Pelodiscus sinensis: one gene and its partners. The protein of the gene in region 1 interacts with the protein of each later gene in a biochemical or structural test. Links are inferred from orthologs where the notes say so. Each region holds a gene or a part of one and is shown in the gene's direction. Other genes may lie near its edges.

Region 1 (8,077 bases):
GAGGTTGTGCACCACTGCTATAGACAGCCCATGAGGAAATTAATAGTTCTGTCTTCACAGCAGGGCTTGAACAGTATGCAATACATAAGGACCAGGTCCACACATTAAACAAGAAGAATGCAAAATATTGAATAGCTGCTCATTATTTGAAACACCATCCATTTTGAGTACTTCTGAGGCAAGAGTCTTGTGTAAAAATGCAATGTCATTACAACTCTTTAATTAGTCACAGTTAACTCATGATTAACTCAAAAATTAATTGTGATAAAAATTAACCATGGTGTTAAACAATAGAATACCAACTGCAATATTTGGATGTTTTTCTATATTTGGATGTTGATTTCTTTTATTACACAGAATACAAACTGTTGAGAGGCAAGTAGAATAATACTAAATGCAAATTTCATCTATACATTATGTATTGTTTATACACCGAAACAAAACCCCTAAACCTATAATTAAGTAACTTTCTTAAAGTCACAAGATCAACTACTGAACATACTCAACAATTGCAAAATGCTAGAATTAGCTTGTCTTGAGCAGCCTTAATTCATCCCCCTGGTGTATATACACTATGGCTATGTCTAGACTGGCATGATTTTCCGGAAATGCTTTTAACGGAAAAGTTTTCCGTTAAAAGCATTTTCGGAACAGAGTGTCTAGATTGGCTCGGACGCTTTTCCGCAAAAGCACTTTTTGCGGAAAAGCGACCATGGCCAATCTAGACACGCTTTTCCGCAAAAAAGCCCCGATCGCCATTTTCGTGATTGCGGCTTTTTTGCGGAAAACAAATCTCAGCTGTCTACACTGGCCCTTTTGCGCAAAAGGGACTTTTGCACGAATGGGAGCAGCATAGTATTTCCGCAAAAAGCACTGATTTTTATAGTAGGAAGTCAGTGCTTTTGTGGAAATTCAAGTGGCCAGTGTAGACAGCTGGCAAGTTTTTCCAGAAAAGCGGCTGATTTTCCGGAAAAACTGGCCAGTCTAGAAACAGCCTATAATACAATCTTTAATTACAGGCAGTCCCCAACTTACGAACAGTTTACGTTCCAAACACCTGGTCGTAACTCGATTTGGTCGTAAGTCGGAAATACCCTTAAACGTGCTGCCTGCACTGTTCGAAAAACTTGACGTACATGGTTCTCAACTCGAAAAATATTATAATGGGGTTAATGGGAGGTTGATCGTAAGTATGGATGGTCGTAAGTCAGTGTGTTCGTAAGTCGGGGAGTGGCTGTACATGTAGGGCTTAATTATGAGTATTTTGCCAGGATTTCTATGTGTATCCAGCTGGGTCATGAGCAACAGAAGCATAATGGCTTTCCTTGGTGTCTAACCATATAAGAGAGAAATGTCCCACTTGTGGGGTTTTTTCTATATAGTACCTTCTGCCAGGAACAGCGCCCCTTATCCAATGCTCAGATTAATAAAGTTAATCTCCAATTCTACTTTAGAATTTGTTCATTTCACCTTCCACTCACTAATCACGTAATCCTGCTGTTATGCCTGATGAATAAATGATTCATACATACATTCCAAAATGGAAATAACTTTGTTTAGAAAAGAGTAATATTAATAGTAATAAATAATAATGCATACCTCTTACACAGTGCTTTTTATCATTTGATAAGTGGGTTAATTAGATTAATGAAGGTATAAATACATTGTAGAAGGAAAGCCATATATTTATATGGGATATATTCAGAGCCATATCTTTACTAGTCAACTCATGGACCCAAAATCCTGTGTTGCCAAACCATTGTCAGTTTCTTCTGATAAACAAAAAAATCTTCAAGTTTGTATCTGACACGAGGGTACATGAATTTCAATATACTGCACGGCAGTTTTGTTAATGAGACGCAGTTGGAACAGAGACTATAAGAACTGGAAAGTGGTAATTAAGATGGGAGTAAAGTTTAATACTGTGGTGTCTTCCAAACAACCAATAATAGGTTTAGGTTTGTTATGTACATTTTTTAAGTTGAGTGGCTAAAGGGAGATCACTTACTTTAAAAAGGTCCAAAGAATCTTTGGCTACATGGACTCCAATATTTCTAATTAAAGTGGTGAATAAAACCAAGTTAAATTATCTTCAAAGGTCTCTGAATGGCCCTGGGCAAAGTCTAGAGGGAGAGGCTCTGATTTATTATAATTCATTTTGAATCCAGAAAATTCTCTAAAAATGTTACACTGCTTCAATATGTTGGCTAGGAACACTATAGGTTTACTGGCAAACATTTATATATCTTCAACATATCTAATAAAATCTACTGTTCCATATTGCTTATTCCTTTACCAAAAATACCATTGCTGAAATGAATTCTTTGCATCAGAGAGTCTATAATAAGTGAAAACAGTAAGAGAGATAAGGGTTAGCTCTGTGTAGTACTATGTTTCAGCTGCAGACTTTTGCAATTATAACCATTAATAAGGATCTTGGCTGCTGTGATTGGGTACATTAATCTTATACAAGTAATGAATTTTGGTCCAAATCCCATCAGTAGAAAAGAAGAATGATTACTCAAGCCGATCAAAGACCTCTTTGTCATCTCCAGTTAGATTTGCTGAGGAAGTATTATTTAATATAACAGAGAAAAATGTGTTTAATAATCTTATAAAGTTATCAGTTCCATGTTTATTCTATATAAATCTTACTTAATCATAGTGGGCTAGTTCAGGAAGAAATTGAATGTTCAGGAGTGCAGTGGGCCTCCTTAAAGGTCCTTTTTCTTGTTGGTATAGTAGCAAATGTGGCAACAATGATAGGTTCATTTTATGCAATACAATCCACGCAGGTGGACTTCCATACTGTGATCAAAAGCTTTCTGGTAAAAGATAGTAAAGCTGGTCAGTCTTAGTACCATCTGTGGCCCTTAACTTCAAGGCTCTTCATAGTTTAGCTTCACCTTATATATCTAATCTCTTATATCCCTTTGCTCTCCTAGTTATGGTAGCATCTTACAAGCTCTTTTGTGGCCTTCTTCCATGCTATCTGACATATATGGGACATCCTCCCCAAGCAGATTTACATAGTTGCTTGCCTTTCCTCTTTCATATTCACTAATGGTAACAGGCAGGTGGTCTGTGTGACATTCATTAATATCTCTTCCTCACCTATTCTAACTTTTTAAACCTATATAAATGATGGAGTGGGTTGTCATAGGGGGTTGAGATGGCAGTAATGTTACCAGTATTGTTTTGCTACTAAGCTGCAGGCAGAAATCAAATGTGAAATTGCAGAACTCCAGCTACAATTGTGAAAAATCCATTCTCATTTCTGAAGAGAGAAAAATGCCCTTTTCCTCTTAGAAAATGCACCACTTCCATTCATTTATATATTGGTCTGTGCAAAATACAAAATGACTGATAAGAAAATAGTTTCAGCTAATTTGATTCAGGTAAAAAGTTCTCCATTGGTCAATATGGAACAACACTTCATGAGAATGCTGTGGATTGTTGGCTATCCACCTGGCAAACATTTGGCAAAGATAACGTGAAGCAAAACTAGGGAGTTCAGCACAATGTTGTCATCAGTAGAAGCCCCCATGTGTAACAGAAGTCTGTGGAATAAGCCTAATGAAACATCTGCAGCCAGGCTGATTTTTAACTAGAAATCATCCATCGTAATATGCATGTAAATTCTGATCTCACAGTAAGAATCCCAGAAACTGAGAACACTTATCATATTTGGAAAAGTGGCATTCCTTTAAATATTTCAGAGGAGTAGATGTGTGAGTCTGTAACTTTAATAATGAGTACTCTTGTGGCACCTTACACTAACAAAGGTATAGGCTCATGTGCTTTCATGGTAAAAGTACATCCGATTAAGTGATTTTTGTGGCAGAGGTCTAGGAACCAGACAACTAGAGGTTCTGTTTCTACCTCTCCCACAGGGTTCTTTTGCCATCTTGGGCAACTCAATTAGGTGAAGTGCCTGCAGATACAGAGGCCTGGTCAGCACTTAAAATGTAGGTTGACATAGCTAAGGCACTCAGTGGTGTGAAAAATCATTATACACCTGACCACTGGTAGCTTCGGTGACCTAATCCCTGCTGTAGACTGATGCAAGAATGTTTCTGTCAGCCTAGCTACTGTTGCTTAGGGAGAAGGTGTTCTCTCCCCACTGGTAGCTTCGGTGACCTAATCCCTGCTGTAGACTGATGCAAGAATGTTTCTGTCAGCGTAGCTACTGTTGCTTAGGGAGGAGGTGTTCTCTCCCCTTATGCTGTGTCTACACTGTGGTTTTACAGTGGTGTGTTTGTGGCCCTGTAGGGATGCTTCTGTAGCACCCATAATGTAGACATGGCCTGACACCCGTGAATAACTCTATATATGTGAGTAATCCAGGACAGGTGTAAAAATTACACCTACTCCTCACAAGTGTAAAATTACTCCTGTGCAAAAGTATAGGCAGCATCAGGACCTTTAAACCTTGTTATTTGTTAATTAATCTGTATTTAAAAATCAGGCTAATCTACAATATTTAGGTCTTATTTCCATGGGGAAATTACAATAGTGGGATAATTACACACATTGAATTTATGGCAGGAGATTTCTCCGTGTAGACAAGCTGCTCAGTCTCCTTTCTCTCTCCCCAACTTTCCTCTGCTTCCCGCATGAGGTCTACGGGGAATCTCTGCCCGAGCATAGAGGACATTGCACAACTCCTGGGAACCCGAGACTGTGGTGAGAACAACTTTAATAAAATAATAATAATAATTAATAATAAATGCAAAAGTTACCAGCCTTCCTGTGTGCAGGGGGACATGTGAAAACTAGCAAGTGTGTGTACCCATAAGACCTCGATGGAAAATAAAAGAGTAGCACAAATATATGACTTTTTTTTAACCCGTGCTTTTTAAGAAGCCACGTTCCGGATTTCGGAACCCTAGGAGCCGGTTCCTAACACACCAAATTAATCCAGCCATGCAGGAGGAGCACGACCCAGAGGGGCCCCAAGGCAGCTGCAGCTGCTGGCGGGGGTGGGAATTTGGAGAGGATCCCTCGCCCGGCTGGTGTGTGTGTTATATTGGCAGTGGGGTAAGTGGAGGCTGGGCGGCTCCGACTGCCTGACGCCAGTGAGACCAGATCAATCCAGGCGCAGAGGCAGAGCGAGTGCGGGGCTGCCTGGCGGCTGGAACCGTAAGAGCAGCAGCAGCAGCAGCGCCTCTTCTTCCCGCTCCGCCGCCGGTAACAACTTCGCGTTTCTTTGCCGGTTTCTCCCAAGCCGCTGCCTGGGCGGGGACCCTTCTTCCCCCGCCGCCGCGTCCTAGGGCTTGCTGGCTGGCCCAGGCCGGGCAGGGCTTGCTGCAGCCAGGGAAGTGGTTTGAATGGTGGCTGCGCTTTGCCTTGTTTCCCCCACCCCCGGGCTATTCCCAGTCTCTGGCTCAGGTCGGGGCTGCTTTTCACCACGGAGCAAGGAGGGACGGATTTTTTTTTGCGGGGGGGACAGGGGCTTTTCTCCAGCATGATGGCGTCTCTGCGGGAGCCCGGAGAGAAACCTGTGACTTCTTTGCTTTCTGCTTTGCTGCCTTGTTTGGTTTAAAGTTTCTGGGGAGTTTCTTTGTTGGACTGGAGGAAGAGAAAATAGCCCTACCAAAAGCTCTCTCCTTCCCTCTTCCTCTCTCCCTTTTTTCCCCTTCTCATTAGAAAATCCTGCTGCTTCAGACTTTTGTCCTGGCTCCATTGTGTTCAAAGCCAAGTGGGAGAAACTTGCAACAGTTTCTGAAAAGCTTTGGCTAACACAAGGCAAATGCCCTTTGTTTTTATTTGAGGAAGGCATTTCTCTAATGACTTGGCTAATCCAAGTCTTTGTTCCTCCTAATGGATTTAACTTTTTGCAACAAGATTTGTTTAGAGGTCAAGGAAAGTTCACTTAAAATTCTTCTGATTATTAAGCGGTTTCACTGCATGTGATTTTTCTTCTACGTGATTTTCAATTTACTTATAGTTTGACAGGATGAGATTATCCAGCTACATATGTATCTTTAAATTTTACTACGATATGCCGGTGTACAAGTGTTCAGTTGTGCTTTTTAAAGTAGCTGGGCCAGACCCTAATGTTTTTAATGAAGACAATCCGAGTTTTGATTAAGAACTGTAGTATTTGTCCTTTTGTTAGTAGTTAATCTAATTACAGAAGATGTGCAGGCTGGTTTTGCAGTTTGCTCATAGAATGTATGCTTATTTATAGTTTACTTTTAGGAAGAGGGTTTTTTGTGTATGTATATTTATGAAAAATAACCAATGCATCATGGAATAGGTGCAATTCTGCTTTTCTTGGGTGGAGCATTTAATGGTCAGAAACATCTAATTTTCCTTTTTTCATTATTTCAAATAAAAACAAACCTATCCATCCTTATTTTTGGCAGATGGAGCATTTTAGGTAAAAGGGTATGTTTGACAGGTCTGCATGTAAAACCTGGCATCCCTTGCCTCCTCTGACTACTTCCATGTATGTAAGACTTAGCTTGTGTGTGATTTTTGTACATTACACAACATGAAACTTCGAACTGAGTATAACAACCCGGAAAGACCACTTTTCTTTATGTCTTCATGCAGTGTGTGAAACAAGGAGAGTAAATCTGTAAAGAAACTTGCTGTTAAAACTGATTTTAATCTTGTCTATGACTGCATTAGATGTATTGAAGGCTTGCTTCCAGTTCCAACTTGCAACATAAAAATATCAATCTGTATAGGAGTTCTGTGCTGGGCAGTTGGTAGAAGATTCTCATTACACCTTTTATAAATACTAAATACTTCATTTTTTGTCATTTCTTTACAGTGGCTGACTTTAGTTTTTTTTTTTAATTTTTAGATGAAAAATACTTAACCAATTAATTTGATATTCCTGTGTGGCTGTTCAGTCTCTCATTTGTAGTTAATTTCACACTGTAACTAGGATCTTGACAGAGATTTCTTTGGAGGTGGGTGATCCAGGAACCTATAAGGATCAGTTCAAGGAAAGATCAGGTTACTCTAAGGATGGGGATTTGTCCTTGCTTTATTTTGACCCCCTCCATTTCATTGATATGTAATCAAATACACTTTTTTTCTTTATGCTATTGTCTACTTTTCATTTTATGTATTTTTTTTAAGGTCGTCTGATCCAATAGCATAGAGAAAAGAAACTAGATAAGCAGTTTCTGTGTAAGTAGTGGCTATCAATTCACATCTTTGAGAGTTGATGGTAAATTAGTGTTCAATTCAAACTAGTAAATAAAGGGATGAAACATAGAGACAGGTGATAACATTGCTGCTCCAGTTCGTAATTACTGGAATGATTTTTACAGACTCTCCTTAAATTCGAAGCCTCTCTACGTGTGCAAGTTAAATACTGAAATTTTGAAGCCATGTTTTAAAAAACATCTGAGTAATAAGTTGGGATGTTGTCATATTCTAGTTCAAGTTGTGTGTGTACATAAAAGCCTTCACTTCTGTAGTCTTACAAGGCTAATGGAGGCATCATCTCAGCTTTATAAATAATGTAAGTTGTGTATAATGTGCAGTCCTCAGGGACTGCAGAGAAAGCATCATTACCAGCCTTTTCAGCCTGCTGGAGATCTTAAATTGATTTACAGCACTGAACTGGTGCAAAATGATACATCAGAATGACATGGGGTCAACCTGTAAAAGTCTGTGATGTGAGCCTATTAGTTCAGTCATCATAATTAAACCACATTATGGGGGCACCAAAGCAACCATGTGTGGTGTGGTGTTATGCTTCAAAAATGGGTGCTGGAGAAGTTAAAGAGCACTATATGTGTAACTTAAAACACCGAATAGAAATCAAAATTGAAATTTTGAAGCACAAATGTGTCCTGATTAACCACTTTTCCACAGTCACTAGCACCTGAAATGGGGAATGACCATATCTCTTATTGGATTGGAGGAAACGCTGAATTATATACAGTTTGAGGTTCAAATATGATCAGGCTTTACTTCACAATACAACAGCAAAGTGATGAAAGCAGGCAAACAGTTTAACACTTTTTCCAGTCTACTAGTGATCTTTATCAGAAGTAGTGACTCTGAGCATATCTGTTGAAATGTCTCTGTAGAACTGAGTGGTATACTG
Region 2 (7,230 bases), on another chromosome or scaffold:
GGCCAGCCCTGCTTCCCGCCGGACGGTTCCCCACCCCACTTCCCCCCACCCAGCTAGTTCTGCTCCCCCCGACCTCCTCCCTGCCAGCCCTGCTCCCCACCGGTCGGTTCCCCCCAATCTCCCCCAGCCAGCCCCGCTCCCCCCGACCTCCTCCCTGCCAGCCCTGCTCCCCACCGGTTGGTTCCCCCTGATCTACCCCAGCAAGCCCCACTCCCCCCGACCTCCTCACGTCCAGCCCTGCTCCCCACCGGTCGGTTCCCCCCGATCTCCCCCGGCCAGCCCCGCTCCCCCCGACCTCCTCACGTCCAGCCCTGCTCCCTACCGGCCAGTTCCCCTCGATATCCCCCAACCAGCCCTTCTCCCCCTGACCTCCTCACATCCAGCCCTGCTCCCCCCGACCTCCTCCCTGCCAGCTCTGCTTCCCGCCGGATGGTTCCCTCCGATCTCCCCTGGCCAGCCCCGCTCCCCCCGACCTCCTCCCTGCCAGCTCTGCTTCCCACTGGATGGTTCCCCCCACTCCCCCCGACCTTCTCACAACCAGCCCTGCTCCCCCCGACCTCCTCACAACCAACCCTGCTCCCCCCGACCTCCTCACATCCAGCTCTGCTCCCCACCAGTCGGTTCCCCCCAACCTCCTCCCTGCCAGCCCTGCTCCCCACCGGCCGGTTCCCCTCGATCTCCCGCGCCAGCCCTGCTCCTCCCCCCCCCCCATCTGAGATCAGGTGTATCTGGTATTTTTGTCAAAATCATCTAGAAACGCTACTTACAGCCCCCAGCCCTGCCCCCCCTCCCACCCCTGCGGCCTGACTCCTGAACACCCCACAGCTCCCTGTCCAGGGCCCCCTATGCACTCTATGCAAGTGTCCTCTGTTCTGGAGGTACCTCGATGGCCACCCTAGTGTGTGTGCATCTCTGCTGTCCACGGCTCCAATGTGTATCCTAGGCCCTGGGCTTCTCCCAGCAGCGGGGGAGTCTCCAAAGAGAGGCTGGGTTTGGAGGCAGAGTGTAGCAGAAATTTGGCCCTGAGGCCCTGCCCTGATGCAATTTCCAACCATTCTCAGGTGGCAGGGCTCAGGGTGCTCCATTTACCAGCTGAGAGATGGCAGTGGAGCAGAGCAGGCTGCTGGGTCACTCTGCTTTATGCCGCAGTGAAAGGGGGAGCCCCCGACCCCTGCTGCCCCCTGCACCAGCCCCCCAGTAATTTCTTGTGTCGTATCTCTCGGGGGAGAGGGTGCAATGTGGGTGGGAGGGCAGGGGTGGAACAGGGTCAGGAAGAGGCGTGGCCTGACTCCTGAACACCCCACATCTCCCTGTCCCCCTCTGCCCCCGCCCCCCTCGTGCTGGCCCCATCCGGATGGTCTATCTGGCTGTGGGCATGTTGGCCTGATGCCTTTGAAGAGGCTTTCTCTATTTATATACATTCCTCCAGCAAACAATGAGTTAACGAGCCCTGAACTCGACCTTTTTAAAAAAGAATCCAGTGGTGCTATATAAGAGCCAAACTCCTCTCTCCCAGAGGGCCGCATGGAGGAGGGGGAGCGGCTCCAGCCATTGGCTGGTTAGAACCAGAGTCAAGAATTGCTTCCTTACGCCGCCCAGACTGTGCTGTCCTTTCTCATGGTCTGAACCTTCCCCCCACCCCCCCCCCAGCCCCCCATTCCCTTTGGGCCTTCTAGCCCGAGACCCCCAGGCCGGCCGGCGCTGAGCTTCCCGTTAGCTGGCGGGCCGTCCCCGTGACTCCGTCGGATTTCCCGGGCGCTCCACGTTGAGCGAGGTAGGACACGATGCGCCTGCCGCCCTGGGACACGGGCGGGCGAGGAACAGCCCTGGGAGGCACTGCTCTCATCAGGCTGCTGGGATTTCAGAGCAGGAGCAAAGCTAGTGCATGAGATTGGAGAACCAGAGGCGGCCCAGGCAGCTTTCTGCAGGCCCAGCCTTCCTCTCCCCCTCAGCACAGCAGCGGCCCCGTTTATTGCACAAATTCCAGGGACTCTGGGGCCACAAATCCGGCCCCCCCCAACCTGCAAGGAACTGAAAGCGCCACATGGTTACCCACAGGCAAGAGTCTTTCACAGACAAAGAGTCAAATGTGGCCATTTGCCTGTGACCGAAACAGCAGGTTCTGAAAACCAGAATGAAACGGGATCTGGAAAAACGAGCGGGCAGGGCCAAACAGGCAACTGATGCATCAAAGTTTTAGTTACAGGGGGATAAGGGCAGTAGATGGGAGTCGGGACCCTCGGGTTCTGTTCCTCGCTCTGGGAGCAATGGCGGCCTAGTGGCTACAGCAAGCAGGATGCCTGGGTTCTGGTCCCAGCACCGCGTGACTGTAAGTAAGCATCTTTCCCTCCGCTATCAAGGTGTGGGCCCAGGATATCGCTGTAGAGATCACATCTCTGCAGCTCAGTTTTGTGTCTACACTGGGACCTAGCACAGCTCTCTCCACTGTGTTATACCAGGCTGTTCCACGGTCACACGGGAGGGAGAGCCAGTGACTTCATTACAAAACAGGAGGCGATGCCGGTCCAGCCGTGGCCCCCCGCCCCCTGCTCCTACCCCAATGGATGAGCTACGAGGCCAGGATGGAGCAGTCGGGGAGAGGCCCGAGGTGGGAGGAGAGATCCCTGAATGGGAGAGAGGAAGAGTGAGAAGCAGCTGACTGAGAATGACCCAGAAAAATGAATTTAAAAAGGCTAAAGGGGAAGTGGTGTTTCCGGTCCCCCTCGAGCCCCTGCCAGCTGTGCCAGCCACCCACACAAGCCTGGTGCTACAGAGCAACTTCACAGACATTTGTGGTTAGGCCGGAAGTAGCTCTCCCCCCTCCCCCCGTGGGAATCTGAACACCAGGGTTAACATGTGACTCTTGCAAAAGGGGCCCTGGAGTCTTTGGGACTAGGCTTCAGCATCCCCTGTGAACGACAGCACGCCCAGCCCTAATGGCGTCTGGGGGCAGCATTCTCATACGGGCAGAGCACCTGCACTTCTGCAGCGCAACGCCCCCTAGCCCTGCCCTGGGGCACTGGGAGAGCACCCCTGCACTTTTGTGCAGCACAGCGCCCCCTAGGGATCATTGGGGTCCGCATTGACCGTGAGGGCAGAGCGCCTCCTGCTGAGTCACTTGCAGCACAGCGCCCCCTAGGGATCATTGGGGTCCGCATTGACCGTGAGGGCAGAGCGCCTCCTGCTGAGTCACTTGCAGCACAGCGCCCCCTAGGGATCATTGGGGTCCGCATTGACCGTGAGGGCAGAGCGCCTCCTGCTGAGTCACTTGCAGCACAGCGCCCCCTAGGGATCATTGGGGTCCGCATTGACCGTGAGGGCAGAGCGCCTCCTGCTGAGTCACTTGCAGCACAGCGCCCCCTAGGGATCATTGGGGTCCGCATTGACCGTGAGGGCAGAGCGCCCTCTGCTGAGTCACTTGCAGCACAGCGCCCCCTAGCCCTGCCCTACGGCACTGGGCTCAGCACAGAGGCTATGTCTAGACTGCAAGCCTCTTTCGAAAAAGAGCATCTAGACTACTAGTACTTTTGAAAAAGCAAGCTGCTTTCTCGAAGGAGGGCACCGAGGCAGTCTGGATGCTCTCTTTCGAAAGAGCACAGTTTGCATGACATAGCGCCTTTTTTCGAAAAAAGGCATTATTCTTCGTAAAACGAGGCTTTTCACAGCCGAAAAAACTGCCGCGTTCTTTCCATTTACGCGGCGGCAGTCTAGACGCAGGGGAAGGTTTTTCGAAAAAAGGCCACTTTTTTCAAAAAAACCCTGCAGTCTAGAGTGACAGGAGCAGAGCTTCTCACCAATACGTTGCTACTAACACGTTCCCCAGTTGCCTCCCAGCCCCACTCACAAGTCACCCCTACACTGGCCCCACCTGAGCTACCAGAATCGCTCCCAGAATGCCCTCGCCTGCTCCCACTCCGGCCAAGTAAACTAAGTCAGCTCGATTGCTGCCAAACCCTAGGCTCCTGGCTGCTCCCTGAGGAGGCTGGGTTCAGACACAGGTCCCAGAGCTGGTTTTGACGGGAGACTGAGGCAGGGCCGGGAACACGGCCTAGCCACACACCCTGGCGGGGGGGGGGGGGGGGAGTTGTTTGGCCGGGGCCTGGGAGGGAGGGAGAACAATCGTGATGGAGCAGGGGCCGGTGTGTGCAGGAGGAAGGGAGCTAGGCTGTGGCTGTAGGCTCAGCAATAGGAAATGCTTTATTAGCTGGGAGTGGTGGAGAAAAGCCAGGCAGGAAGAGGCAGTAATAAGAAACATTTTTTGACTTCTCCCACATCCAGAACTCAGAGATCTTGCCAATCCGCCGCGTTTGGGCCACAGGGAGAGAGAGGCCAGCCCCTGGGACTGGGGAGGGAAGCTAGAGGCACACTCCCCTCTCGCCAACTAGGGCAGGCGACAGCCGCTGGAGTAACCACCAGAGCCAAAGCTCTGCCGGGCCAGCGTCCCTTTGCAAATCTGGCAAGGTTGCTGCGTGGAGAGGGGAGGACGGAGGCTGACCCGTGAATCTGCTTCAGGCGGAAGCTCGCAGCGCCTGGGGGGAGCTGGAACCGTGTCCGTCGAAGCCTGGGATCCAGACTCTGTAACCGAAGGAGAATTGCCTCTGGCCCCGGGAACCGGTCAGCACCGCCCCACTGGCAGCAGACAGACAGCCGGATAGAAGACGCCCGGATCTGGGTCAGGCAGGGTTCCGTTGCGTCTCCAGAGGCGCTGCAGAGCCTGCCCGCCCACACGCAGCCTCTCCTCTGGGCCGGTGCTGTCAATGAGAGGGAAGGAGCCGTAGGTGAGTTGGAATGAACTGCTCTCTGGGGGTGTCGGGCTATTCTCAGGTTGCTACCAAAAGCGGAACGCGTGCAACTAAATGGGCCGCTCCTCAGCTCTCGGGAGAGCGCTGCTCGCTCACAGCAGCTGCCCCATATTGTAGCCCCGGCCTCACCCCCTTTGTTTTGTCCCCAGTTGGCTTCCTGCATCAGACTGTTCTTTGGGTCCCCCTTTCTCCACGATGGAGGAGAGACTCTCCGCTTTAGACTCAGATCCACTTTCAGGCACTGCTTGCTTCTGAGATATGCTCTGTGGCTTGAAGATAAATCAGAGTAACCACATTGAAGCCTGCAGGACTTGCACTGCTGCGCTTAGAATCAGGCCTTGTCTCAGTTGCCATCAGTGGGATAGCTCTGGATTGACACCATGGTAACTGAAGTCAGAAACGGGCCCTGAGTCCCTTTTCAGAAGATGACACACTATGTAAACGACCATGATAGGCTGTGCAATGGATCTAGCGCGGGACAAGTCGTGCAATAAAATCTTGCTGCCAGACGGTAGGATTGGAGAGTAGCAAATGTTTTGCAGCTATTTCCAAAAGGCGTTAGGAGAAATGTAGCAAAGTGCAGACTCAATTCTGGTAAATTAGTTGAGATGATGGAATTACAAAGAACTGGGAAATGATTGATATGACAGAGTCGAAGCACCCCGGCTTCTGAAAAGGAAAACTCTGTTCACCAAGCTATTCAAATTCCTGACCGTTTTCTATAAAAGAGCAGACAAAGGAGAACCAATTGACACGATTCATTTAGACTTTCCAAACGGCCTTTTACAAAGTTCCTCATAAGAGGTTACTGAGGCAGCTCAGTAGCCCAGATATCAGAGGCAAAGGGCTATCTTGGGTCAGAAATTGGGTAAGAGATGGAAAAACAAAGATTACAAAGAGATGGTCACCAAAGCAAGTTACCAGCAGGGGCTATTTTGGAGCTGATGTTATTTAATTATATTAATTACTGATCTGGGAACGAAGGAAACCAGGCAGAGTGCACAATTTGCAGAGAACACAAAATGATTTAGGTTAGGCAAGACCGTGTGGAGCTCCAGAGGGACCTAATCAAGTTGAGGGAACGGGCAACATGGTAGCAAATGAAATTCAGCCTAGGATAGAACGCCTCCCCTGCACAGAATTCCTAAACTGCTCAGGAAAGAAAGTCAGGTAGCTCGGCCTTAGCGTAATGTCCCGCCATGTGGAGAAAGCAAATGGAACACTGGGGTGTGCAAGGAAGGGGCTGTTGCTGTCCTGTAGCTGGATAGGATATTCGGGGCTGGAAGGGGGCACGCATCCCAGGAGGGGGTCAGAGAGCTTTGCAGCGTTTGTTGTTTCTAAAAAGCTTCCAGGCTCGAAAAAAATCCCTTTCCCGTTCTCGGCACAAACCAAAAATCAGCCTGGTCCTCCTGTTTCTCTCCCACAGAGAATTTAAGAGAAAATAAACATGTGGGTGGGGAGGGGGCGTCTGGGCTAATTTTCTTTTTTTTTTTTTAAATAACAAAACCTGTTTCTCTGATTTCTAGTGTAGCAACTGCCTGGAGCACAGGGTAGCACAGAGCCCGTGCTGTGCAACACGGCTGCTCAAGGCATCTGCTGGCTCTGGGCACGTTGCACCAGGCATGCCAATGTTTCTGGAACAAATGCCGGGGCAGCCTCTAGGGCTCCGTTCAGCTCCGAAATGGGCCTGAACTAGACCTCGGAGCCAGGTGAATCGGATCTCTGGCTCCAACTCTGCATTGTCTGCAGCCCTAGGGATACAGCATGTGCCTTGGAGCACACCAGTGACCAGCTCCCGAAAGCGTCAGTGGTAGATGTCACTGCCCAGTGCCCCCGGCCAGCGCTGTACTGATGGGCCGGAGGGAGGAGGGGAATCTCTGCAGGTCTCCGATTTAGGTTCGAAGCCCATTGAACTAAACAGAAAAACTCCCACTGAGTTCAGTGGGCTTTTGATCTAGCAACCCATGATCTAGCAACAAATCTAGCCTGGTTTGTCGAGGGCTGAGCACTCCCCCGGCTGCCTCTGACCTCAGGGGGAACCTCGGCACCTCCAACACCAGCCGAAAGCAGCTGTGTCCAGGAAACTGCTTACATCTGCTGCCTCCTGGCACAGGGCTGACACGGGTTGCGGGCCATGCGCTCATGTGCGCTGGGAGCTACTGATTCTCAGGGAAGAAAAATAAGGAACCAGGTCATGCGATAAACAAAAGAGGCTTTTCTGCTCAGGGTTTGCTGGGCGCTAACCCTAGATCTCGCCCTGGTGCGCCTGGGACTGCACAAACCGTGCATCTCATTTGACTGGGGGGGACGGGGATTGCTTTGTTGAGGAGTCTTGTTCCTGCTTTGGTTTCGCATCAGTTCATTAAACTGTTCTCCAGTGTGGCCCACATGGTGCAAAGGGAGCTAGTAGCTCAGGTGAGGAAGGGTG
Region 3 (7,913 bases), on another chromosome or scaffold:
CGATTACATAGCATGGCTAAAGCAGAAATAAGCTACGCAACTTGAGCTACGTCAATTGTAGCTTAAGTTGAAATAGCTTATTTTGCCTTTGGCGCTGTCTACACAGCAGGAAGTCTTGAGTTAGAGCGCTCTTCCTCCAGCTTCCCTTACTCTTTGTAAAATGAGGGTTACAGGAGTTGGAGTAAGAAGTCCTCCAGCTCGACATTATTTTGACATGTCAAAATAACTGCTTTCTGTATAGACGAGGACTATGTTATTTTGGAATAATGCAAGTTATTCCGAAATAATGCTACTGTGTAGACATAGCCTTAGGCTACGTCTAGATTGCATCCCTTTTTCGTAAAAGGGATGCAAATTAGACGTATCGCAATTGCTAATGAAGTGGGGATTTAAATCTCCCCCGCTTCGTTAGCATAAAAATGGCTGCCGCTTTTTTTCAGCACGGAGTTTTGCTGGAAAAAAGCACCAGTCTAGACACGGATCTTTCAGAAAATAAAGCCTTTTCCGAAAGATCCCTTATTCCTCTTAAAATAAGGGATAAAGGATCTTTCAGAAAAGGCTTTATTTTCCGAAAGATCCGCATCTAGACTGGTGCTTTTTTCCGGCAAAACTCTGTGCCGAAAAAAAGCGGCAGCCATTTTTATGCTAATGAAGCGGGGGAGATTTAAAAATCCGCTTCATTAGCAATTGCGATACGTCTAATTTGCATCCCTTTTATGAAAAAGGGATGCAATCTAGACGTAGCCTTAGAGTAAGGTAGAACAGCACATAGCTAGAGGCAGAAAAGTAGGTGCCTAAGGAACTTTTATCCTGGAAAAGTAGGTGCTGAGTAAGTTTAGGTTTCTTAAGAGTTATATGTGGGTTTTGCAGATCACAGTGGAGCCAAATCTGGTATTTAGATGCCCCAAGTACCTTTGTGAAACTAGGCCTTAGACTCCTTTCCTACTGTTGGCTCTTCAGCCTGTGTGAGATCCTAGGGAAGCAGAATTTCAGTGTGTTTTGAAGCTAACTACTAGTGGCTTGATCCAAAACCCATAGAAATAAATGAAAAGAAGCTAATTGACTTCAATGGGCTTTAGATCAGAGATGCCCAGCACCTGTGAAAAACAAGACCACCGATTGTCTGAAAAGAGGGATAAAAATATTTTTGGTGTTTTCAGATTCTTTGACCAGTATTAAAAAGCTTTTATATTTCTTTAAGAATGAGTTTCTCAAACAATAACTCTGCCCATGTTCTTTGGTTTCAGAAAAATATTTAGTTATTTAATGTTGAAAAGCAGCTGTAATATGAATATGTGCACCTTTCATAAAAATTTTAATAACACAAAGAACCACTCATTCCAAACAGTGTAAAGGGAAGACTCATAATGGTTTTATTGAGGTAAGAATGACCCAGTGGAATTATGTCAATAGCAGTATCTTATACAATATCCAGGTACAATGTATAATTCTTCTGATAGCCTCTCTAGGGCTTAAAAAGCTCTTCCAAAAGATCTTGCACAATTCCCAGATATATCAAAAAGCCATGTTCAAGAATAATTTACAGTGAGAATTGCAAATCATGAATTCTGTGTTGAAAGGAGGGGCAAGGGACATTCTCTAGCAAAATCTTGTAGGTTTTGGCAAAAACAGTTACAAACTAGTGCATAAATAAAGCAGATAGAGTTTTTGTTTGTTTTTAATGAACACTTGATTCTGAAATTAAACTTTGCAGATAGCAAGATCCTATGTGAATTTAAATAGATTATGAATATTATAGTGGTACAATGTCTAAGGCATTGTCCAAACATGAAAGAAACAATCTTTGCCCTGAAGAAATATGACAAATGTATTTGCTAATACACATTTATGTAGCTTCTGCATAGTGCTATACAGCATATTATCAATTGAAGGTTTTATTTTAAATATAGGTACGTCAGACATTGATGTTATGCCAGTATGATCTTCCTTCTCTGCCCTACATATTCTTACAATACTACTTTTAAAAATAAACAAAAGGAAATGAAATACTAAAAACATTAGACTAGTTTAACATAATGGATAAACCAGTGGCTCAGTATTCTGCACTACCATGTGGAAGTCTGTCTAGATTCAATTTCTGATCTCATTTTCTTATACCCTGGACTGGGAGTTCTGCCATCTGTCCTCCTCAAATGGAAGAACAATATGGGACTCCAAAGTTGGGTGGTTTCTTTAGGTCCAGTACAACCCAGAACTATGATAAGTGTGTACTGAATGAAACCCTAAGGAAAAATAAAATTCTTAAATTGATTAAATTAAAAAATAAAAAGCCAAAACATTCACCTCATAGGCAAAAATGTAGTCTTCTAATTAAACCAGCTATTATATAGGATGTAGTTGTAGCAGAAATGTTGGAGTGGAATCTCTTGCATTGAGCCAGATAATGGAGAGGTCATTCAGTTTGTATAGGTGTACAAAGCAATACAACTTATCAGGAAAAGTATATATTGAGTATTGAGGATATAGTTTTGTCTGGATTTTTAGTACTGAATATTATGTTTTCATTAGTATTCTAGTTTTACAGGTTGTACAGTGCTAAGTGCCTGAGCTACATAGGACCTATATAATGAAACTAGTTGGGTGAGAATCAGAAACAGTATCAGATATAAGTAGCGGTCTGCTTACAAAGCCAGTAGTTTCCTCACTATCTCAGTCTTCATGAAAATGTTACAATGGCATCTCCAAATCATAATTTTAAGTGGGAGTACCTTGCTCATTCTTAGCTACTTAAATGTTCTCCTTAATTTAGGGTATGCAATGTAGTTATAGTCATGTTGGTCCCAGGATTGTCTCATTAATTTAGGACACTTTTGAAAGTTGCCTCTTCGGCTGTTCATTGAGATACCCTCCCTTAAATCCTCTCCCTGCTTTAGAGTGCCCCTGCTGTTGAGTGTGTTGAAAGGCCTGGAATTCTTTGGGAGCCTAAAGACAGAAGCATTACACCATTAAATAGAATTGGGATGTAGCTATAGCAGTCTTTTGAATTTCAGAGGGGTGTAGGAATATCCCTGACTTTTCTATTGCAACTCAATCACACATAAATAGTGGATTTTCTGAGTTGTAAGATGGGTTAGAAAAGTACCTTCCATCAGTAGTCTCATCCTACTAGCAAAACAGGATATAAATTTAGGTGAAACGGGTATCACGATCTAGCTCCAACCTTGTATCCCATAAAGTTGTTTTACTTTTGAATCTTTGATTTTTCAGTATATAAAGCTGTATCTCACCTCACAGTAAGAATTGCTTACTCTTTTTTCTACCCCTTGACTCACAATAAAATGATTTATGCCTATATTTTCCCAAGCTATTTGGCCCATTATGAGATACGAGTCTCTCAGGTCAGCATTTGGGGACCCTCACCGCTGACACCAGCACTGAGGTGAGCAGGGGAAAGGGTCCACTCCTCATTGTTCCCAGCAGGAGCAGCCCAGGTAAGCTTGAGCCCTAAACCTTGGTCCCCCCTTGACTCCCCTCAATCCTGAGCACTCTCCTGCACCCCAAACCACTCACCCCCAGACCCATCCCACAGCCCACACCCCCAGGCCAGAGCCTGCACCCCCTCCTGCACACCAACTCTCAGCTCTTCCCCAAAACTGTTGTCCCCCTCCTTCACCCTAAACTCCTCATTCCCTGGCCCATCCCAAAGCCTGCACGCCCAAGCCAGAACCTATACTCCCTCCTGCACACCAACTCCTAGTCTTTTCCCCTCCTGCATCCCAAACCCAACACCCCCAGCCTTACCCCAGAGTCTGTATCCCCAGCTAGAACCCTTGCACCCCCAATCATCTGCCCCAGCCCAGTGGTCCCTCCTGCACTCAGAACCCCTTGACTCCACTCCCACCACATTAATTTTGTGATGTGCACCAATATGAAGACGATGTATTGAGTGGCACACATCAGAAAATTCACTCAGCTCAGGGGTGGAAAAAATTAGAGGGAACACTGGTGAGGGCCTGGGGGCATCCCAGTGGGGGGGGAGGCAGTAATGGACAGACACTCCCTTGAAGTGGGGGCACCCCCTTCCCCCAGGGGCAGTGAGGACATGAGGGCATTCCAGGAGGAGGGGGCACACAGTGGGGACAGACATCCCCTATCCCTCAGTGGCAGTGAGGCCCTGGGGGCATTCCAGTGGGGGACACACAATGGGGATAGGCACCCCTTCCCCCCCGGGGCAGTGAGGACATGGAGGCATTCGGGGTGGGGGCACTTAGGGGACAGACATCGCCTTCCTGCTGGGGCAGTGAGGACATGGAGGCATTCTGGGGGGGGGGGACTTAGGGGACAGACCCCGGCTTTCCCCCGCCGGGGTAGTGAGGACATGGAGGCATTCCCGGGGGGGGGGGCTCTTAGGGGACAGACACCACCTTTCCCCCAGGGGCAGTGAGGCCCTGGGGGCATCCCAGTGGGGGGCACACAATGGGGATAGGCACCCCTTCCCCCCAGGGCAGTGAGGACATGGAGGCATTCGGGGGGGCACTTAGGGGACAGACACCGCCTCCCCCCCCCCCGGGGCAGTGAGGCCCTGGGGGCATCCCAGTGGGGGGGGCACACAATGGGGATAGGCACCCCTTCCCCCAGGGGCAGTGAGGACATGGAGGCATTCCCGGGGGGGGGCTCTTAGGGGACAGACACCGCCTCCCCCCCCCGGGGCAGTGAGGCCCTGGGGGCATCCCAGTGGGGGGGGGGGGACACAGTCGGGACACGCAGCCCTTCCCCCGGGGCAGTGAGGTCCTGAGGAGGAGCGCAGGGGCAGGAGAGCAGCGGGGACTGGGACGGGGGCCCCCACCCCCCACTGGGCGCGAAGCGGCGAGCAGGCTCCGTCCCGGAGGAAGGGAGGCGGCTGCCGCCGCGGTAACGCGCTGTCCCGGGCTTTGTTGTGCTCGCCGCCAGGGCCCCGGGCAGGGGGCGGGGGAAGGCGGCGGCGGCGCCTCCTCCTCGGCGCTGGCCCCGCTTATGGCGACGCTGGGCACATCCGGGCTTCTCTTCGTCCGGCGGCCGCCGCCGCCGCTGCCCTGAGCGCCCAGCCCGACTCCATTAGCGCCTCCCCGCTTCCTACCCGGCCCCAGCGGCAGGGGCAGCCCGGGCGAAGGCAGCGCCGAGCCCCAGCCGCGGCCGGAGACATGTCCAACCAGGGGGCCCGGAGGAACGGGCCCGTCAAGCTGCGACTGACAGGTGAGGAGGGGCCGGGGACGGAAGGCGGGAGAGGGTGGCGGAGAGCGGGCGGCTGGGGGGGCCAAGCGCCGGGCTTTGTGAGGAGACGGGCAGGGGGGAGGCGGCTGAGGGGGAGCCTGGTGGGGAGAAGGGGGTCGGTGGTTCAGGAGGGTAGGGGTCGAATTGGGCGGGGGCCGTCGTGGCTAAGGTGGGGGGGGGGTGAAGATTTGGGGTGAGGGAGCTGGGGGGGGGGCAGAGCGGGCGAGTGTGGCTGCGAAGGGAGTGGGGGTGTGAAAGGAGAGACCCCGGGGAAGCCCCTTTCTCTGTTGTCTAAGCCCCGCAAGTCCAGCTGGAGGGGTGGGTGGGACCGAGCTCCCTCCATGTGTCTTTGAGATTGAACCTGGGGCACGGAGAGGCCTCAGGGGAAACAAGAAGTAAACTCCCTGCCTCCCTCCTCTCAGCAGGGGGGTCCGTGGGCCACGGTTTTGCCCGTCGCCCGTGGGACACGTTGCTGTGGCCACGATAGGATTGTTTACTCTAGGGTAGTAAACACGCCTGGGTTAGGAGGAGAGGTGAAGCCCTGGGCAGTGTGTGTGGGGTGAGGTGGAGGTAGTGGAGCCCCTCGCCTCCCTCAATCAGAATCTCGATTAAACCTGAGCTCATTAGATGTATTTCTCTGTAAAATGCCGGACCACTCTCTCTGTTGTTGTTGTTGAATATGTTGTAGTATTTAGGGAGGCCATTGTAACTTTTTGGTAGGTACCTTAGGCTGTCTCAGAGGAGTAGCTGTGTGTGTTGTTACTTGAACAACAATGTTTCAGAGGGGTCGCTGTTAATCTGTAATAGAAAAAAAACTTAACAACAACACATAGTCCTGCAGCACCTTAGAGACTAACTAAAATGTAGATGGGATCATGGGTGGATTGTGTCCATAAAAGACATGATCCCATCTACATTTTTTGTTAGTCTCTAAGGTGCTGCAGGACTATTCGTTGCTTTCTAAGTTTTTTTTTTTTAACAAACAATGAGTAGTCCTGTGGCTAACAAATGTATAGTATTATGAGCTTTTGTAGGTAAGACCCACTTTGTCAGATGATGATATTATATTTTTTTTGCTAGTCACTAAGGTGCCACAGGACCACTCATTGTACCTTAGGTTGTTTCTCACCCTCTCCGTCTTCTCTGTGTAATCGTCGAACTATCAGGCCCTTTGTTTTGATCTTTTGTGTTGCTGTTTTCAAGCCAGTTTCCTCAGTTGAGATTGTAAACAATTCATAGGATATAGGCCATCATACTGTAGGAAAAAAGCCCTTAAAAAACCCATGGCCTTTAAAAATGTTTAGTTTACACCATAAATGTAAAAGTAAACTATTTCAGTCTGTCTTCTGGAAAGGAAGGAAAACATTATCTGTTTCTGAATACTTGGAATGAGCTCCTTTTGTAGTGATGAGGGCAATGTAAGTAGATAAATATGGAGAAACACTTATAAATATGAATAAAGCTTGTCTGCCTTTGAAAAATAATCACTGAAGACTTGCGAGGAAACAGCAAATTGAGAAAACACATTTTGTACTCTAAATTGTGACTTCAGTATATGAAAATACAAGATTTAAGAAAAGTATTAAAAATAGTTTGTCTTCCAACAACTTATTGAACCTAGTTAACTTATTTTGTAAGGCACAGCTATTAGTTCTTTCAAAAAAGTCTAAAAATAGTTGCTGCATTTTTTAAATTATGTAATTTTAATGGTATGTGCAGTATTTTCAGTTAACTTCTAATAAAAAAATTAAAGTTACCGCATTTTAATTTTTTAAAATTCGAAGTAGAGAAAAATGGCTTTTTTCTAGATCATGTAGATTTTTTTCTTATAATTGCTTACATTCTATTTTGGAACTTATTTAGATTAATCTTGTAAAAGGGGTTTTTATGCAGGGCCAGGATACTGCCCAGGTGGTGAACTCCTTAGAAATAAACTTTGGAAATGAGTGGAGCTGGACTGATATGTGGGACAGTGTTAGTTTAAAAATACTGTTCTGCACTTTTGTGTCTGTGGCTCCTTGCTTTTTGACTGAGCTCAGAGAAACTAAGGTGAGTTTAAAAAAATGCTCTATAATCCTGCCTTGGCCTAATGGAAAACTCTAGACCACTGGTCTCCAACCTTTTTAAGCATGAGATCACTTTTTTGAATTTAAGTGCAATCCAGGATCTACCTCAAATCCAGATAGCCCCCCTTCTTTGTGCCCCTTCTCCAATGTCCTGCCCCTGATCACTCCCCCCTCTCTCTCCCATTCTCCTTCCTTTTCATCAGGCAGTGGCAGAGATGGGGCACCTGCTCTGGTCCTGGGCTAAAGGATTTGGCGTGTGAGAAGGGCTCTGAGCTGAGCCTAGGGCAGGGAGTGGGGGTACAGACTCTGTAAGGGAGTTTGGATCCAGGGGCTCAGGGCTAGAGCAAGGGCTTGGGGTGCAGGAAGGGTTCATGACCTGGAGTAGGGGCTCAGAGCTAGCTCTAGCTGGACACTGCTTACCTCAGGTGGCTCCTGGGTGGTAGTGCAGTGAGGCTAAGGCAGGCTCACCTTTGTCCTGGCCCTGCACCACTCTCAAAAGCAGCCAGCAAACTCCCTCCATCCCAAGCCCTGTTGTGCCCCCTCCTCCATTCTGTGGAGCTAGAATATAGGGTGGGTGAGGAAGCACCCAGAGATCAGCGCCCCCTCCTCTCCTTGCCCTGCCCTGCACAGCAAGCA

Evidence for each region.
Region 2: of the proteins of SMAD1 (region 1) and ACVRL1, one has a biochemical effect on the other in vitro, tested with the Homo sapiens proteins (2 studies listed by BioGRID). The link is inferred for Pelodiscus sinensis from reciprocal best matches to the Homo sapiens genes SMAD1 and ACVRL1.
Region 3: the proteins of SMAD1 (region 1) and SMURF2 form a complex in vitro, tested with the Homo sapiens proteins (2 studies listed by BioGRID and IntAct, with this or other methods). The link is inferred for Pelodiscus sinensis from reciprocal best matches to the Homo sapiens genes SMAD1 and SMURF2.

Annotation. Positions count from the first base shown.
Region 1 is NC_134715.1:51,249,413-51,257,489, forward strand, and holds the start of SMAD1 (mothers against decapentaplegic homolog 1), read left to right. Parts: upstream 1-5,025; 5' UTR 5,026-5,190; intron 5,191-8,077. UniProt on the Homo sapiens protein: Transcriptional modulator that plays a role in various cellular processes, including embryonic development, cell differentiation, and tissue homeostasis.
Region 2 is NC_134729.1:5,532,091-5,539,320, reverse strand, and holds the start of ACVRL1 (activin receptor type-1-like), read left to right. Parts: upstream 1-4,140; 5' UTR 4,141-4,778; intron 4,779-7,230. UniProt on the Homo sapiens protein: Type I receptor for TGF-beta family ligands BMP9/GDF2 and BMP10 and important regulator of normal blood vessel development. On ligand binding, forms a receptor complex consisting of two type II and two type I transmembrane serine/threonine kinases.
Region 3 is NC_134730.1:20,923,900-20,931,812, reverse strand, and holds the start of SMURF2 (E3 ubiquitin-protein ligase SMURF2), read left to right. Parts: upstream 1-4,821; 5' UTR 4,822-5,141; coding exon 5,142-5,193; intron 5,194-7,913. UniProt on the Homo sapiens protein: E3 ubiquitin-protein ligase which accepts ubiquitin from an E2 ubiquitin-conjugating enzyme in the form of a thioester and then directly transfers the ubiquitin to targeted substrates.